Linked DNA regions of Ovis aries. The protein of the gene in region 1 purifies or fractionates together with the protein of each later gene. This does not show direct contact. Links are inferred from orthologs where the notes say so. Each region holds a gene or a part of one and is shown on either strand. Other genes may lie near its edges.

What was found. The genes of interacting proteins can lie anywhere in the genome.
Region 2: the proteins of GIPC1 (region 1) and SH3BP4 purify together in Homo sapiens (affinity purification with mass spectrometry; 4 studies listed by BioGRID and IntAct, with this or other methods). This does not show direct contact. The link is inferred for Ovis aries from reciprocal best matches to the Homo sapiens genes GIPC1 and SH3BP4.

What each region holds. Positions count from the first base shown.
Region 1 is NC_056058.1:9,615,234-9,618,141, forward strand, and holds the end of GIPC1 (PDZ domain-containing protein GIPC1), read left to right. Parts: coding exon 1-61; intron 62-857; coding exon 858-970; intron 971-1,298; coding exon 1,299-1,380; intron 1,381-1,523; coding exon 1,524-1,675; 3' UTR 1,676-2,372; downstream 2,373-2,908. UniProt on the Homo sapiens protein: May be involved in G protein-linked signaling.
Region 2 is NC_056054.1:6,061,982-6,065,762, forward strand, and holds part of SH3BP4 (SH3 domain-binding protein 4), read right to left. Parts: intron 2,113-3,781; 5' UTR 2,005-2,112; coding exon 1,961-2,004; intron 1,406-1,960; coding exon 1,329-1,405; intron 1,038-1,328; coding exon 1-1,037. UniProt on the Homo sapiens protein: May function in transferrin receptor internalization at the plasma membrane through a cargo-specific control of clathrin-mediated endocytosis.

The sequences.
Region 1 (2,908 bases):
AAGGAGCTACCCCGAGGCCGCACCTTCACACTGAAGCTCACAGAGCCTCGAAAAGCCTTTGGTGAGGGGCTGCCGCCTATCCCTGCCCCATGCCAGCAGCCACCACCCTCCCAGCCCCCAGCTCCCGCCTGCAGTACCAAAGGCCACCAGCAGGTGGTGCCCAAGCCCAGCTGGTGGTAACGGGTGGGAAAGGGGGTGGGGCAGCCCCACCCTTCTGCTGGGAGAGGGTGTTGGCTCTCTGCCCAGCTCAGGTGGAGGATGGAGGCAAGGAGGAAGTTGCCCCCACACCCAGCTTCCAGGAGCCATTAGCCTAGCCAAGCGCCCCCAACCTGGCCAACCCCCTAGCCCCAAGAAGCCAGGCTTGGCTGCCCTGTGCCAGGCCCCCTACTTTTTTGTCCAGCTTCATTAACTCTCCGGAATGGGCTCAAGGTCCCTGGCGTGGGGGAGGGGGACTCTAAAACACTTCCCCAGGCAGATAGGGTTGGTCTAAAACACTTCCCCAGGCAGATAGGGTTGGTCTGCTGCCCAGCAGCTAAACCCCCTTGGCCTTGGGGAAAGTAGATAGAGACCCAGGACCCATCCCCTTCCTGTCCCTCCGGCCCTGGGAACAGGAGTGGTCCCCTCCAGCCTCCCAGCCCTTTTCCAATCCTAGCCCCTGGCTGTGCCTCCTACACCCCGCCAAGCCAGAGTCAGGAGACCTGCCCTCCTGGGGTCACCTCCACCCCCAGTGCCCCCAAAGCCTACAGAAGCTTGGAGAAGGTGGAGGGTGGGCTGAGGCCGGGATGTCTGGGTTTCTGCCCAGAACATGCTGGAACTGGGCTTCTCCAGTCCTCACCCCATCCCCCTATCTCCCACAGACATGATCAGCGTGCGTTCAGGGGGTGGCCGCCCTGGCTCCGGTCCCCAGCTGGGTACTGGCCGAGGGACCCTCCGGCTCCGATCCCGGGGTCCAGCCACAGTAGAGGATCTGGTGAGTGTGCCAGCCGAGCCTAAGTCCCTCCCCGCTCCACCCCCCACCACCACTTTCCTGTGAAATTCATAGGTGGCAGCATCACTCTTAGCTGAGGGCCTCTGGGCACTGGATGTCCATCCACCTCTGCCACCTCCCAGCTCTGGGACCTTCCTTAGGCAAGTGGACCTCAGTTTCCTAATCTGTGAAACTTTTGGGGTTGTCATGAGGAAGAACCGTGGGTTTCTATACCAAAAGTGGTGTAAAAAAAAATTTGCACTCAGCGTTCAGTATAATTACAGGTATATTCACATTATTATAATGTCGTCTTCCCTCTTTCCGCCCCCAGCCTTCAGCCTTTGAGGAGAAGGCCATTGAGAAGGTGGATGACCTGTTAGAGAGTTACATGGGCATCAGGGACACAGAGTTGGGTAAGTGAGGAGGGGGTCATCAGGGTCTGGGGATGGGTGGGAGTGTGGGAGAAAGGGGCTTGCAGGTCCTGGGGGGCCAAGTCTACCCTGAGCCCCTCTGTCATCTGTGCCTCCATTCTGCTCCCCTGTCCTTCCCCCTCCAGCGGCCACCATGGTGGAGCTCGGAAAGGACAAAAGGAACCCGGATGAGCTGGCTGAGGCCCTGGATGAACGGCTGGGTGACTTCGCCTTCCCGGATGAGTTTGTCTTTGACGTCTGGGGTGCCATCGGGGACGCCAAGGTTGGCCGCTACTAGGCCTTCCGCTGGACCTCGAGATGACTTGGGCCAGGCCCGGTGGGAGCCTCTGGGGCGGAGACACCGTAGCCTGGACCCCAGTGTCTGGCTCTGGCCCAGCTCAGTAGCCTGGAGATGATGCGGAGCGGAGGTGGGGCTGGGCCTCTGCCCCTCCTCCAATCGGTACCACCCCCTCGCCAGTTCCCAGCCTGGCTGGGGCGCCCAGCCCCCCACCCCCGCCCTCCTCCCCACCTACCTCAGCCAGGGTCAGGCACAGCGGTGGAGAGGGACCAGCCAGATTGGGTGGCCACCCCCACCTCCCTGCCCCCAATACTTTCCGCCTCAGCTGCCAAACTGGTCCCTCCTATCTCCCTGGGGCCTCGGGTTCTGTTTGGGGGTCGTGACCTCCCTAGTTTCCTGATGCAGGGAATGCAGGAGGGGGGTGTGTCCCCCCCCTCAGCAAATGCAATAATGCCCTCCTCTTCCACCACCCCCCCCCCATCTCCCCAGAGGAGCCCCCTCACTGTGGAGTCTGTTACCTCCGCATTTGAAACACTAGTCTGCTGTGAAACCCCCCCAAACTCCCTCCCTCCCCAGCCCCGCTCGTGTCTCCCTCAGCTCAGCCCCAGACTGAAGGGGCAGGAGGGAGGGATGATGGTGGTGGGCTTTTGTACCTGAATTTGCTGTCTGGAACATAAAGAATCTATCTGCTGTTGGATCTGTGTGTTGGCTTCGGGGTGGGAGAGGAGGGTGGGTCAGGGCTGGGAAAGAATGTAGCAGCTGAAATCCATCCTCTTCGGGCTCCAAATTGAATTAAGAGCTGGCCCCAGCCACCCGCCCCCTCCCACCCGGTCCGCCTGATGAGGCTCTTGGCTGCAAGCCACCAGGCTTCCAGGCAAGGCCGGAGCTTCTTCGTCTACTCAGGGTGCAAATCTTGCTCCCTTTCGAACAAAGCTTCCCGCCACCCTCTGGCCTGATGTGAACAGTGGGCAAGAGGCAGTGGGCCCTTGTCTGTTCTGACCCAGTGGCCCGGAGAGCCCCCAGGCCAGAAAGTGAAAGCGTTACTCGCTCAGTCCTGTCTGACTCGTTGCGACCCCGTGGACTGTATATCCTGCCAGGCTCTTCTGCCCATGGAATTCCCCAGGCAGGGATACTGGAGTGGGTTGCCGACCCAGGGATCGAACCCCAGTCTTCTGCATTGTAGGCAGATTCTTTGCTGTCTGGGCCAGAAGGCATGGAGAAAGAAAGATGGGG
Region 2 (3,781 bases), on another chromosome or scaffold:
CAGGGTGCTCAGCTTCACCTCCAGCACTGGGCTGATGGAGCTGCACCGGTCGCTGTTGAGCTCCAGCGGGGGGTCCAGCAGAGCCTTCATGGAGACCTGCTGCATCTCCCCGGGAGCCACGTGGCCCTCGGGCACGTGGATGCTGATGTTGGCGTCAGGCAGCTGGACGGCGCCCCCTGAGCTGTCCAGCTTACACACGATGTTCGTCTCTACCGCCTGGGTCTGGCCCCACCCAGGGCTCTGGCCCAGCAGGTCCAGGTCGTGGCAAGACCGGGCCAGCTTCCGGTGGCTCAGCCAGGCGGCCCGGAAGTCCTCGCGGCTCTGGAACTGCTCGGGGGCTGGCGATTTCAAGCCCGTGAAAAACCCTGAGGACGCGGGCGCATCGGACTTGGCCTGGAGCACGGAGAGCTCCGAGAGGCTGTAGGAACGCTTGCTTCGGAAGAAAGGGTTGTCCCGCTTGACGGGCGGCTCCGCAGGGACGCGGCCGGCGGCCGGCAGCTCATCGAAGATGTTGCCGGTGCTGTTGGTGGTCGCCGAGCTGGACTCGGTGAAGGAGGACGTCCCCGTGTCGAAGAGGAGCAAGTCCACGGCGCTTCTGGGCGTCAGCTCGTCCACGCTGGGCATCGCCGGGATGTTCCCGTTGAGAAATGGGTTCGTCTGGACTCCGCTCCAGAAAGGATTATTACTGTAGGCTTTGCTGGATTCCTTCTTGGCATCCGTCCACCCCCCGAGCAAATCGAGCTCCTTGGCGACTTCATCCGGGCTGTCTGGAAGATTGTCAATCATCCCGCTGTCGCTGAGGGTGGAGTTCCGGTAGTTTAAGGGCTGCACGTAGGAGGAGGGGATGTAGCCCATCTCCGTGGTGTTGTGCGCGTACCACCACTCCCCGCCCGACGTGTCCAGGACATACAGGTGGTCGCCCTTGGAGAACTTGAGGGTGGTGAAGTTGGTTGGGCAGTAGTCCTTGATTGCAATCACCTCCTTCGCGTTTCCAAAGGGTGTGGGATTGTCGACCAGCAAGGCACTGGGAGAAGGCACTGTGCAAGATAAAGAACAGGAGGTGAGGGTGGGCTCCCAAGAAGAGGCAGAATGTTGTCCCAAGCCACAAAGAAAAGAAGCCTGGGAAACCTTCACCCCTGACATGGAGACAACAAGCCAGGCATAATCGACAGAAACCAACCACTGAAATCTGGGGTCTGATTCACCTGGCTGATTCTCCCCAAATTCCATGACATCCCAATCACAGTCTAAGTCAGGTAGAAAGCCTCTCCACCATCCATAGAAATACAAATCAGCATGATAGAATTATCCGATGTCCTGGGTTTTACCATAAAGCAGGCTGAGTGCCAAAGTATTGATACTTTCAAACTGTGGTGCTGGAGAAGACTCTTGAGTGTCCCTGGGACTGCAAGGAGATCAAACCAGTCAGTCCTAAAGGAGATCAACCCTGAATATTCTTTGGAAGGACTGATGCTGAAGCTGAAGCTACAAAAATACTTTGGCCCCCTGATGCAAAAAGATGACTCATTGGAAAAGACCATGATGCTGGGAAAGACTGAAGGCAGGAGGAGAAGGAGGTGGCAGAGGATGAGATGGTTGGACGGCATCACAGGCTCAATGGACATGAGTCTGAGGAAGCTCCGGGAGATGGTGAAGGACAGGGAAGCCTGCAGTGCTATAGTCCATGGGGTCACAAAGAGTCAGACATGACTTATTGACTGAATGACAACTGGGGTTTTGAACATCTCCTTTTAACTGGACTTTTCTTGATTCAACTAACTTACTGGGACTGCTGCTAAGTCAAAAGAGAAGTTGAAAATGATTTAGAAAAACAGTGTTAAATGACCCAATGCGTGTAACCAAAGACCAGGAAAGCCCTCCAGCAGAAATCTCTTTGTGTCTAAAAACCATTTCCACTCTCTCCCTTCCAAATAAAATACATAAACCGAGGGGAACGTACCCTTGATAATCAGACCCGTTTCCTTGTTCCCAAGTTGAACCCATTTTTCATCAAACTGTTTATATGAAATAAGATTTTTGAGTCGGGTCTCTTTCAGCCTCTTTTAAACAATCGTTCAGAAGAACACCATGAAATCATTTCTCTCTCATCCCCTGAAAATTAAAGGTTGAGGTTCGGTCATAATTCACGTTCTTTTGAACAACTCTTTAAGCAATCTGAAAAAATGCCAACACTTTAAACAACTGACTCAAGCTAATTTATGGCTCTTGGTGTCCAACTATGTGTTACCAATGTAGACAGCAATTGAAACAGCAGAAAAAGAAAGTCATCTAAACAAGTAGGATGTGTTTTGAAAAATAACGGATAATTAAAAACCTCCCATAGGCGACAAAGTACATATACCTAAGTAGAGGATTAGGGTTAAGAGGATGAACACATTTCTTTCTGATGGAAATAACCCCATATGTTGGCCCCCTTCCTCACCCCAGCTGTGCCTTGTTTTACAGAGTTTGCTGCCTTCCTGTTACAGATAAATGAAAGCAGATTTTCTTAGTTGTCTTAAATGAACAAGCAAAGACAGGACATTTTTAGTGGAATTACACTTTCATCTTGTCTAATGTATGACTAAGTCAACAGATATACTAGTCTATCAAATCGGCAGTCCTGCCAAAAAAATTCACCTGCCCATTTCCCTTTCCTAAAGAAAATAAAAATAAATTAAACTGTATAAAGGAAATGATAATGAATTATATTGTATTTCTTCAGCAAAGTCTCAGGAAATAAGGTAGGAAGTTTCTATTTATTGACACTAACTAAATTACAGAGATATGCTTGGCAGGGTGTGTACCTGGGCCTTGGGGAGGCTGTCACCTACCACCAAGTCTGGAGTGTCAGAGAAAATCTGGCTCTGGGATCATCAGACCTGGGCTTTTAATCTGCACCCTTAGGGCTTCCCTGTGGCTCAGCTGGTAAAAGAAACCATCTGCAATGCGGGAGACCTGGGTTCGCTCCCTGGGTTGGGAAGATCCCCTGGAGAGGGGAACAGCTACACACTCCAGTATTCTGGCCTGGAGAATTCCACAGACTGTGTAGTCCAGGAGGTCACAAAGAACTGGATTATGACTGAGCAACTTCTTTCCCTTTCACTTTAGCAGCTGTGGGATCTCTGGAGCCTGGGATTGTTCATGATGGATAAACATCTATCCTCAGTGGGCTCTGGTAAGGATTAAATGAGATGATGCTGATGAAGTGACGGAAATAATGATGCTTAGTCCAAGCAAAGGACTCACAAAACCGATGAACTTATAGTTACTGCAGGGAAGGGACAGTTAGGGAGTTTGGGATGGACATGTACATGCTGCTATGTTTAAAATGGATAACCAACAAGGACCAACTGTATAGTACTGAGAACTCCGCTCCATGTTATGTGACAGCCTGGATGGGAGGGGAGTTCAGGGCAGAATGGATACACGTATATGTCTGGCTGAGTCCCTTTGCTGTTCACCTGAAACTATCACATTGTTAATCAGCTATCCCCGATACAAAATAAAAAGTTTAAAAATTAAATAAAGCAATAAACATCTCGAGCCCCCTCCTAATTTAATTTTTCTCCATAGCATTTATCATCAACCAATACAAAATGTCCCTACATATTTATTTTGGTTTTGGGGGGAGGGTTCCATTGCCCCACTAGGCTGTATGCTCTGTTAGGGTATGTCTTGCTCACAGTAGTTGCTTACAGCAGAGAAGCAACATCCATGTTACTGAAACAAGGTGCTGGCCGAAGTCAAAGTTAGTATTCCCGTGGCTTTGCCCTTCTGT